3 linked regions of the Oryctolagus cuniculus genome follow. The protein of the gene in region 2 purifies or fractionates together with the protein of the main gene of each other region. This does not show direct contact. Links are inferred from orthologs where the notes say so. Each region holds a gene or a part of one and is shown on either strand. Other genes may lie near its edges. The genes, in order: GDI1, RAB1A and GDI2.

The links.
Region 1: the proteins of RAB1A (region 2) and GDI1 purify together in Homo sapiens (affinity purification with mass spectrometry; 7 studies listed by BioGRID and IntAct, counting the BioPlex papers as one, with this or other methods). This does not show direct contact. The link is inferred for Oryctolagus cuniculus from reciprocal best matches to the Homo sapiens genes RAB1A and GDI1.
Region 3: the proteins of RAB1A (region 2) and GDI2 purify together in Homo sapiens (affinity purification with mass spectrometry; 6 studies listed by BioGRID and IntAct, counting the BioPlex papers as one, with this or other methods). This does not show direct contact. The link is inferred for Oryctolagus cuniculus from reciprocal best matches to the Homo sapiens genes RAB1A and GDI2.

The regions. Positions count from the first base shown.
Region 1 is NC_091453.1:132,666,765-132,671,031, reverse strand, and holds the start of GDI1 (rab GDP dissociation inhibitor alpha), read right to left. Parts: upstream 2,891-4,267; coding exon 2,846-2,890; intron 1,635-2,845; coding exon 1,527-1,634; intron 1,393-1,526; coding exon 1,293-1,392; intron 1,147-1,292; coding exon 1,012-1,146; intron 539-1,011; coding exon 340-538; intron 104-339; coding exon 1-103. UniProt on the Homo sapiens protein: Regulates the GDP/GTP exchange reaction of most Rab proteins by inhibiting the dissociation of GDP from them, and the subsequent binding of GTP to them. Promotes the dissociation of GDP-bound Rab proteins from the membrane and inhibits their activation.
Region 2 is NC_091433.1:137,617,344-137,621,583, reverse strand, and holds the start of RAB1A (ras-related protein Rab-1A), read right to left. Parts: upstream 2,808-4,240; 5' UTR 2,382-2,807; coding exon 2,359-2,381; intron 669-2,358; exon of another isoform or gene 545-668; intron 1-544. UniProt on the Homo sapiens protein: The small GTPases Rab are key regulators of intracellular membrane trafficking, from the formation of transport vesicles to their fusion with membranes.
Region 3 is NC_091444.1:79,669,112-79,672,027, forward strand, and holds the end of GDI2 (rab GDP dissociation inhibitor beta), read right to left. Parts: intron 2,076-2,916; coding exon 1,931-2,075; intron 1,700-1,930; coding exon 1,645-1,699; intron 1,559-1,644; coding exon 1,412-1,558; 3' UTR 616-1,411; downstream 1-615. UniProt on the Homo sapiens protein: GDP-dissociation inhibitor preventing the GDP to GTP exchange of most Rab proteins. By keeping these small GTPases in their inactive GDP-bound form regulates intracellular membrane trafficking.

The sequences.
Region 1 (4,267 bases), on a different chromosome or scaffold from region 2:
GCCGTAGAGTGGGTATAAGTATGGGCTCTTGCCATACCGGGCCAGGGACTCACTGTACAACTTGATACGGTTAATGGTCTCCAGACAGGGCTGGTCCAGGTAGCTGGGGGGACAGAGGTCAGGGAAGATGCTCCAACAGGCTCCCTGGCTCACCCCACCACCCCGAATGGCCCAGGGGAGCCGGGGGGTCAAGTGCAGGGGAGGGGCGGACAGGCAACAGGGGAGCCTATGGCTGAGTACGAGAAATGTGCAGGGTAGGCAGAGGGAGCAGTGGGCAGGTGTTGGGGAGGCAGGGTAAAGGCCAGGCAAGGGGACCGCGCCACACCAGCTTCCCCTCACTCATCAGTGCGGTAGAGTGCCAGCGCGTGGCCAGTGAAATCAATGACATCCTGGCCCAGGTCAAACTTCCGGTATACGTCACGCATGCTGGTAGTCTGGGGATCGACGCCCTCAAAGGTCTTGGGGTCATTCTCATCAAAGTTTGCCACAAACACCAGGAACTTGCGGAAGCGCCGTTTCTCAAACATGCCCATCAGATCTGAAGAAGGCGGCAAGGGGGGACCCTTTGCACTAGAATACAAAATTCTCCTTCCCGCCCCCCCCCAACCCCACCCCCGTGGGCTGGCCGAGAAAGCTGGCATCCCGGCTCCCAGTGAGGTCTGTCACATGACCTTAGCGTAATCTACCTGTCTCGGCCTCGGTTTCCCCACCCATGTGAAGAGGGGGTTGGGCCGGGCACACTCTGAAGGCCCTCTTGGCTCCGACACTTAGAGATGTTCCAGGGCTCAAGCGGAGCCCCTGTCACAGGCTTCCGAAAAGGAGCACCCTCCACTCCTCTCTGCACGCGGATCGCCCTGCTAGCAAGCCGCTGTGAGGTGAGGCACATGGCAGCAGCAGGAACAGAGCAAGGGCCATCTGCTACCTCACAGGGGATGCAGCCTCGGGCGTACAGTGGCCGGCTCCCGGTGTCTACCTTGCCACCCGCCCTGAGGTCGGGAGACCCACACTCACTGGAAGCCAAGGCCTCGGTCTCAGTGGATGGCACTTTGTAGATCTTGCCGCCTTTGTAGACAAAGCTGCCCTCCACCACCTTGAAGTCCAGGTAGCGAGTCACCTCCGTATACAGGAGCATCTTTACCAGCTGCCCTGTGGTGGGGACAACATCAGCACAGCTCCCTGCAGGAGCTCTGGCCAGCCTGGCGGGCCCTTGTCTGGAGCCCAACCCCCTCCGGTCCTTCCCAGTCACCACCGCGCCCCTAGGAAAACCGCAGCAGCTCCTCCATCTCCCTCACCATTGGCCATGAGGAATTTGGGGATCAGGTCAACGTTCCAGTCTCGGCCCCGGCCCATCGACTCAGGGGGCCCCTCCAGCAGCTGAAAACGCTTATATAACTGTAAGCAGGAGGGGGAGAGAGAGAGACACCTCAAGGACTGGCCCTCCCTCTCCCTGCCACCCGCTGCTGCTACACTATGGCTCCAGTGAGAGGTTTCCAAGGGCCCGGCCTGGGCCAGGCTGGCAGCCTTACCTCTTCCAGGGGAGTGATGGAGGAGCTCTCGCCCCCATAGTAGGGGTTCCGGTCCATGTGCAGCACCTTCTTCCCGTTCACAGACATGATACCAGACAGGATGCACTCCTAGGGGTGTGAGGACAGCCGGTGCGCTCCCACCTGCCCACTTCGCACCAGCAGCCCTGATCTGTTCTCCTCCCCAAGCCTGCCACAATGGACAGCTCCTTCCACGCCCCCAGCCTCCGCCGCCGCCGCCTTGCCTAACACTGGTGGCGATGGCTACATCCGCCCGTCTCCTTTTTTACCCTGCTAAGCAGAGGTGAACCAGAGAGAAATAATGAAGGAGTCGGGGGAGACAGAGTGTCCAGCAGACACAAGGACAGTCTCATGGCACCGACTGCCAAGAAAGTCCTCTATCAGTGCAGAGCCGCACAATCCGGCAGATAAGACACAATGAGGCACACAGCGGACCTGGCCAGGCCGCAGAGGGCGCCCAAAAGGGAAGTGAAGAAAGGCACTTGGACTCTCAGGCCCCACCCTCGGCTGCTCCGTCGTCAAAGGCCAGGAGCCCCTGACCCTAAGCCTTCCCCACCTGGGCTCAGGAGGGGCATCTGGGCCTGGCCTGAGGGAAATGTGTCTCTCAGGGGAGCGGGTGAACACGCTGTGGGGGAAGGGGGACGATGAACATTCTCCCTAGTCACTGTCACCAGCCCAAGGACAAAGGCTGCAGATATTGCTCAGCCTCAGGTCTCCATGGGAAACCAGGGTGGGGGAGCGGGAATGTGGTCACTGCCCTCGCTGTTAGTTATTCTGGAACATTCCCTGGCTCTTCTGATCCCAGAAGCAGCCAGGAACACAGGACGAGGCCCCAACCTGGCAAGGCCCCCTAACCCCAGGTCCTCGTACTTCACCCCTACTAAGATTAGTATAAGTTGGGGGGGCACAATACTAGGAAGGTGATGGGTGGGGGCGATGGGTGGGGACTGGATGGGAGGGACTGGGGGGCATCAGGCCGAGTGGGGGATACGTTTTCCGGCCCAGCAGGGCAGGGTAGGGAAGATGGGAGAGGCCGGGAGTCGGCACCAGGGAGTCAAGGGAGCAGCCAGGAGACCCCGCTTCGAGGTCATGGCAGCGAGCAGAGAAGACGTCGCGAGGCCAAGGGGGCTGGGGAGTGGGGAAAGAGAAGGCAGTGGGGTGGGTACGGGGCTGGCGTTTCGGGGACCCAAGGGCAGAGGATAGGAATGATGGGAGGATGGGTTTGGCGGCCAGCGGCTGCATCATCGCAGGGATTCGGGAAGGCACGAAGCGGAGGCGCAGGCGCCCGAGGCCACACTTACGGTGAGGCCGGTCCCCAGCACGATCACATCGTATTCCTCGTCCATGGTCAGGCCTTGGTACCAGCGCCCGCTCGGCTCCTCCTCCCGTTTCACCACAGCAGCAGCCGCCGCCGCCGCCGCCGCCGCACTGGACCAAAGATGGCGGCACTTCGAACGCCGCCTGACCCCTCCGCCGCGTCAAAAAGTCCCAACACTTCCCCAGGCCCCACCACGCCTAGCAGTGATCACCGCTTCCCTGGCTTGCCTCCTAAGAGGGTTGCCGGTACTCGGGCCCTAGCACCAGTGCGGCTCTGCCGGCGTCGCCGTTTGCCAAGGACCCAGAGGAAGCTAGGCGGGGCGGTCCGATGACCGGTACTGCGGTCCGAGAGGGATCCGTGCGCGGGAGCCGCGCGCGCCCCGCCCCGCCCCGCCCCCCGGGAGGCTCCGCGCGGCCCCGCGGGCCGGGCACGCGCTGCTGCAGCAGCCGGGGGCGGCCCCCTCACGACGCTGAAGCTGCCATTGTCGCGGCGACCGCTGTCCCGACCACTCCTTCCCTACCTTAACCGGTTAGGGGCCCAGTTTGCTAAAAGAGTCCCTGGCGGGCCCTGGCTCCTGGATTTTGGCCTGGCTGGGATACATCTAGGGCCACCTCCCCCCCTCCCCGCACCCGCCCGCCCTCCTGCCCTCCTCCCATCCCTCAGTCCAACGCTTTCCTCATTTCTAGTCCAGAAACGAATGACAAGAGGCCCAACGTGTGGCGACCCATCTTTATTTTATTAGGAAGGAGACAATGGAGCATGCCAGGCTCCTGCCAGGCGCTCCTGAAACACAGTGGTCACGCCCAGCCCACCTGTCATGGAGGTTCCTTCCTCCTGAAGTCACAGAAATAAACCCCAGCACAGTGTTGATTGTTAACACAACATCACCAGGATACAACAACGACAGCCAAGCGGGACACAGAAGTGGTCACTTCCACATTCTGCCAACCTCGGGCAACCTGAAGCTCTTGGCTGCTGTAGGGAGCCCCATAAAGCTGGGGGAGGGAGAACTTGCTACACAAAAGCGCTATGTACAGCCAGAGCTTATGGTAGATAGAGAAGAATAAATAAGGGGAGGAGAAAGGGGACCCTAGAACTAATGCCCCTGTGCTTTCCCATGGCTGACCCGGGAGACAGGCCTAAAATCTATGCAGAATATCTACACCTTGTCAGGAGGGCTGGGAGAAGCCTCGGGGAAGCCCCTCCGCAGGCTGATGAGGGAGTGAGACAGGCTGAGGGGAGCTGGGGGTTCATGCTATGGTAGCAAGAGGGGGTCCTTGGGTGCCATGTACCATAAGGTGGGAAAATGACAACCTGGACACCATCACAACCACAACCCCTCCCCCCTGGCACGGGGTCACACGATCTGGGTCAGAGAGATGGCAGGGCCCTTGTGGTCATCAAA
Region 2 (4,240 bases):
AAATAGCCATCTTTTACTATCACCCTAAGATATTTTCATTAACACTTTTGCAAAGGTTTTCCCAAACTACTGGACTATTTTAATAGACAGTCCAGAATGCAAATACAGTAGGCTAGATATTGGCAAACAAGATGCCAGAAAAAAATATAAAAAGATTTTCTAAGTTTGACTCTGTTGAGATCATTAATCTAAAGTTCTTAAAAGAAAGGATGATCTGGCACTACACTTACTTAAATTCTATAGTCCTTGCCATTTATTGGCCATCCTTCCTTTTTGCCCCTGGAAAAATCCTCCTCGATCCTTTCTGCTCTTCCAAATCTCACTGCTAATAACATCCTTACAGGTTTCTTTTCCAGAGTCTTCCAAAACCCAATGGGCAAGCCAAAGTCACTACATTCCTCTGAAATCCTGTTGCTCCAATCTATACTGCATATTTGGAACTTGCTATATCTACTGACATTTGATATGCATAAAATCTACATTCTAAAAAAAAAAATCTACATTCTATATTCCATTTATAAGTTCCTTGGGGAACTTATAAAACCATAGCACTGTTAAACCCTAGCACTATCAGAATGCCTTACAGGAAAATGATTTCTACCTCCAAAAGAATGTTCTTACCATTTTCCAAATTCGTCTGGAAGTATCTGAATCTCACCACTACATTGGTAAGGATGACTCCTATTTATCCTATTTTACAAAAGGAGAAACAAATTCTGAAGCTGAGTAATTTCTCAAAATCTCATTCAACTAATTAATTTTCAAGGTCTATTTATAGTACTAAACATATGTAGCAAATATAGGAACCTCCCTGAACAGCAGAGGTTTAAAAAATCTCCATATAGTGGCAAATCCAAAAATTCATGTTCTTTACTGCTTCCAGGATAAACACTAATTAGGAACCTTACATCAACTCGGGCTAACCACGTAACACCAACTTTGTCCTCGGAGCCCTTGATAAAGAAAAAATTGCCAACATAGCAAATTTTTCAAGTAAGAAATTCTAGTAAAATCGTATAGCTACTGTTTAGTACGAAAAGATATTTCAGCATCAAACCACAATATTACAAAATTTGAAGTCAGAATGCGTTTTGCAACAGTCATGTGACACACACATGACAGTCAGCTAAACTGAAGAGTTGACTTTTCAGGGGGATATGTCTACCAGTAACTGACCAAAGCAAAAAATAAAAAAACTTTTGGGACAAATACTAATTTTTGCTTTTAGAAATCCTCCTGAAAAGGTTTCCGGCGCTGAAGAATACCAATTAAATTATCAACTTTTCATTAATTTACATATATGTAAACTGTAGGAAGTGTTTTTTCTTAAGGGCCATAAAGAACTCAACTAAACTCTTCCCCAAGGCAAGTGAACACTAGTTCCCAGGAAAAGTGCCAGGTGTGTCACATCTGTTGTGGTGACCTCTTGAGTAAGCAAGGAAAAGAAATGCATTAACTTTTCATGACACGTCATGGAAGCTCATTCCCTATCTACAAGCATTCAAGTAGGTAATCCAAAACCTACACGATCTACCATAGGTCCCACTCGTTTCTCTTTCAACTTGACAGTAGTCCTTGTCCAATTCGGTAGTACCCTTGGTTTTAGTTCTGTTTTTTTTTTTTCTCCCTCCCTTGACCTATAGAAGACAAAATGACTTAGGTGTCCTCTAACAACAAATTCTCCCAAATGTCCAGGGCTTTGGGAGGGCGATGGACCAGGCAAGTTCTTAAAGAACTCCTCCAGGAGATAACTCCAAACGAGAACTAAGCATTTTAAATCGCTGCTCACCATCTCTCCGCTCCTTGCCCTCAATCCCACGCAGTCCCGAGAAGCATCCATATTACCTGCAACCTGGCGGGGAGGGTGGCACGACAGGGAACCAGCAAGCTCAGGCTTTACAAGTAAAGCTGGTTTCCAACCCGGCGATCCTGACAGCTCCGCAGAGCGCGGGCGCGGGGTCTGACAGTGCCCTCTGGGGGAGCTCTCCCACCCTTCTCCTCCCCTTAAAAACAAATGCCCCTTCCAAAGTTACTGCCCCCGGAGGAAGCTGACCCTTCAGGCCGCTCCGCCACCGGACTGCCCAACGCCCCAAGGCCCTCCGCAGCGGCCCGGCACTCAGGCCCTGAGGCGGACCCGGCCGAGGCCCGGGCCGCTCACCTCTCCGGCCGACCCCTCCCCCCGGCCGCCCCTCCGCCGTCAGACAATGGGGCCCGACTCCCGGCCTCAAGCCTCTAAGGCCCCGTCACCCTTGCCTCCCTCGGGCCAATGCCCGCGCCCCTGCCCCAGCCCTCCTCGCCCCGCTTAAGCTTCCCAAGCTGGCCCACCGACCCAGCCGACCGGTGTTCTCCTGCACTCACTATTCGGGATTCATGCTGGACATGTCACTGCAGCTGCCGCCGCCGCCACCGCCGCCCTTGCTGCCGCAGCCGCCGCCCTGACTCTCCGCGCCACGGGTAATCGAAGGAAAGGAATGAGATGGGCTGTTCCGGGAGAGCAAACGTCTTCCCCCGCTCCGTCCCCTTAGAACACAATCAGCAGCCGCCGCCACTCAGCTATCGCTTCCACCCAAAATGGCCGCCGGCGAACCAGGAAATAGGGAAGCCTCGGACCAAGGGGTCTTTACACGGCCCGGAGGGCGGCCTCGGCGCGTGGCATGCCGGGAAGGAGAGTCGCGAGCGCAGCTACACGCGCAGAAGACCGACGGTGCGGCAAGGCGGCCGGGACTCCGCTTCCCGCCAAGCCCCGCGACTCTGGTGCATGCGTACTTGTGCGGTTGTCGCCCGCTCCATTCCCCACTCCCTCACCCCCCACCCTCCGCCCCTCCCTGCTCCCCTCCCCGTTGACTCGCTGGCTAGGACTTCGCTCGGACTCCCCCTAGCGGATTGGCTAAGGCCGAGAGGCCCCGGTGATGTCACCAGTGAGACGTGGCAGCCGGGCGAGTCAGCGCCCCACGGGGGAGGGGGTGGGAAGAGGCAGAGGGCGGTACCGGCCGGGGCGGAGGATGGGGGTCACGGTGGGACCGCGGGGCGGGAGGGGTCTGGCCTGGTGGGACGGCCCGAGCGTGGGGGAAGGGGCGCGCGCCTGGCGGCCCCTGAGCCCCGCGCGGTTCTCGCAGGCCCGACGGGCTTGAGGCCTGCCCTTCGCCGCTGGTCCGAGGACGTAGGCTCAGAGGGCGGCGGGAAAGTCGGGGGCCTCTGCCGAGGACTTCCGGCGCCCTGGACTGCGCGCAGCCCTCTTCACTCACCCGACCCCACCCGGGTTCGGTCACTACCGTTTTCTTTTTGATTTTTACAGTCCTGGCCCAGCCCCACTCTTGTCATGTCACCTCAGCCTGGACATTTCAGTTGCCTGCAAGTGGACTATGCCCCAGCCCATTCGCACACAGCGCTTCCACCGTGACCCCACAACCTTCAAGGGCTCCACAGCCAGGGGTGGGACACAGCCCAGGCATGGCCTAAGAGTTGAGTCTACCTGCTCTCGGCCCAGCCTTCAGGCTGAATTGTTCTGCCTCTTTAAAAGTTGCCACTTAATTCTGAGCAAGATTGGAAAGTAATAAGCGATAAAAACGTACAATTCATCACTATATAGTGCCCACAGACTCCAGGAGTAATACTAACACATAAAAAAAAAAAAAAAAAACAACCTTATGGGCTTACCAGCTCTCTTTAATCAGCTCAGGAATTTAAATCTCCACTAAACTTTAACACATTATCTTGCTTGGGTTATTTAATTACAAAGGGCATAGTATAACACATTGTCCAAAGTTTATCTTCCAACTGGTTCTAAGAACCAAGAAAATTATCTCCTGAGACTTTAAGTGATTGCAAAATCACTTAAAACTCCTATGGCACCAAAATATGGGAAGAAAGTAATTCTTCACTTCTACCCATGTACCAACTACACTCCTAACCCCCAAATCCCACCATGCACCTTAGTTGATAGCCTCATCAAACAGTCAGCTAGAGTTCCTGTATATGATGTTGATTTCTGAATTGAACATGGTCACCACTCCAGGAAAAGGACCCTGAATGGATTAAAGAATGTTTCTTACCCTGGACTCTAAAATCCTAGACCCTTCCTGCTTACTGTGATTTCACTGAGTAAAAACACAAATGTGCACAAGCACTCATACTGAGCTAAAAATTCAACCTTTCATCTATTCCAGAGATACACTATTTCCCCACTTTCTGTAACTATTTCCTAATCCAACAAAGAATTACCTCCTAAGTTTTAACCCAA
Region 3 (2,916 bases), on a different chromosome or scaffold from region 2:
CTACACTACAAAATCAATTCTGAGGAAACTTTATGATATTTGAATTTCTACAGTAATCTTTCAAACTAAAAACCAAACATTTGAGATACTTAGTATCTATTTGGAACAAAAGTTTTTGTAACTAATTTGTTTCTTTTTTTTTTTTTTAATAAAGACAACCCAAAAGCATCCAACCAAAGTTTCTGCAATGATTTTATGGCAAAAAAAAAAAAAAAAAAAAAAAAAAACACCTTGTCTTAGCAATCTCGGGCCATTAAACAGGAATAACTAACCTTCCAGAGCAATCCTACCACTTAGACCCTCACAGACCTGCTAGTGTTTCTGGTATCCTTTTCCCTCCTCAAAGTCTTAGTAATAAATAGCCTGTACAGTGAGGCTTACCACTACTTAACATCAATAGGAGTCAAGCATCGTATACTATATAGTATCAGGAATAAAATGTGGGGTCTACTCATACTGAAGCCAGATGATGACAAGGGCTGCTCTGATCTGTCCAGATCAGGAGCCACATATGCTCTTTGATACTGTGCACACCTTATGATTCTATCATCTTTCAGCTTTACTGAAGGAAACACTAATAGTTACAATCAGGACACAGACCAATACAGAGAGCAGTGGTATCCAGAATTTGGCTTTATTTTGCAGTACAGAAATCATTTGGAGCCATTTCAGACAGACTAAAGTAGAGGCTCTGTCAAATCAATACTGCATTGCAGCTTGGTCCATTGAAGAAGCCACACCTGTGATATAAAAGATACTTCTACATTTTACCTGCTTTATGACCGATTCCTTTCCCCTTGGTCTCACCAATTTCATTAGTTAAAACACCACAAAGTGGCTTCCTCCAAATGACTCCCTATCTCTGGAGTTTGGTTATAATTTATGCCCACATAAACCAAATCTGTGGCTATACTATTTGGGACCTGCCATAATATGTGATAAAACACAAAACAAAATTAGAGGGAGAACTTGGGGGTGCTGTTTCAAATTATGGAATATTCAGTGTAGGATCTCAGTGTCATAAGGACAGATGGCACAGACATACAGATACAGTTCTTGAGCAGCAGAGGCACAACTGCCAAGACTATGCTGATTAAAAGATAAAAATACTGTATCAAGTTCTCTGTATCAGTATCACAATGTTTGTTTAAAACTGATCTTTCACAGGATGTGGGGTGGTTTGGTTAAATTGGAACAGAACGTGGTAACCTGCCAATTCTGAATAGCCACTCCAAGAACAGAAGTTAATACATGATATTAGAAAGATGAAGGGGGAGGAATATTTACTGGTATAGTGCTCTTCAATCCCTCCATTTTAATTACAAAAGCAGGCTTTACAATACTGATTTCATACAATATGCATTATTTGCCAAATTTTAAATTTGTCCCAATTTAGTAACATGTACTGTTGTTAGTCTTCCCCATAGATGTCATTTTTCTTGCGCTTCATTTCCTCAAAGTCAAACTCTGATCCTGTCATCCTCTTATAGATGTCTTTAATGTCATCACAAGTTGTCTCAAAGTGAGTCGTAGCATCATATGTGCGGGAAATAAAGATCTGGAAATAAAAATCATAAAAATTATGATTTGTTAAGGGATATCTTGCAATGAAGCCTAATATCCTTTTCAGATCTCCACACTCACCTGGCTTTCTTTTCCCAAATCTTTTGGCACAAGGAGGTCACTGATGCTAACAAATCTGGAGGGGAAAAAGAATTAGGTTGCCAAGTTAGTTGGCCTCAAACTAATAATTGTTTGCTGAATTTCTAAACACAAAAGGTAAGACTGGTAGAGATGGTTCAGTTTAAGAAATACCCACAAGAACCCAATGGTTGCCTTCCTTGTTATCATGTTCAAACCACCACCCCCCAAAGCCAAAATCAAGACCCCAATTAGGATTTTAGTTCATATAAATGAACACAACACTCACTTCTGTTCAATTGGTTCCAACAGTTCCAAAGCTGGTCTGATTTCTTTCTCAGGTTCCTTGGTTTCCACAGTTGTACTGACTATGGCAATGTACTTCCCTTGTGCTGCCACATTGTGTGCAGAGGAAATCATGCAGACATAGATATCTAGAAACAAATAATAGCAGCTCAATGCCTAAAGTTTATAAACCTGTTTATAAAACTTAGCATACTAACTTTTCACTATATTTCATCAAGGTGTTAATTTACACTACTTGAAGCAGGCAAGATCTTATAAACATTCTACATGGAGACAAAACACAACCACAGTATTCAAATATTTAACGATTAAAAATTATGTGGCAGTGAACCGCTAAACATGAAAATGAAATCTCCCTGCTGTATAATAGCTAACAAGCCATATTAACTATTCTGGGATTTTCTTTTACTTAGGACTTTGCATTAAATAGCTAACAAGATTTATTAAGTACTGTTTCCTTCATTTGATACTGCAGATCAGTATAAGACCTTTATGAACTAGTTTAACAGACTCACAGGTCCTGATACCAGACCTGGTCTGTATATCACTATTCTAAACAACTGCATAATTTGCAATATAGAAAATAATTATTGGAGGTTGGCATTCTGCTACTTGTGACAATGGCATCCCACATTAGAGTACCAGTTCTATTCCTGGTTGCTCCACTTCCACGCTAGCTCCCTGCTATAATGTGCTTGGGAAGGCAGTAGAAAATGGCCTAATTACTCAGGCCCCCATAACACACATAGGAGACCTGAATGGAGTTCAGGCTCCTAAAGCTTCAGCTGGCCCAGCATTGGCCATTGTGATCACTTTGGGGAGTGAACCAGCAGGCAGAAAATCAGTCTCTCTCCCCGTTTTTCTCTGTCACCCTGCCTTTCAAATAAGTAAATCTTAAAAAATTAGTACCAGACTCCCTATATATTTTTTTAAGATCTTCACAAATCCAGGGAACTGCCTGTTTTAATA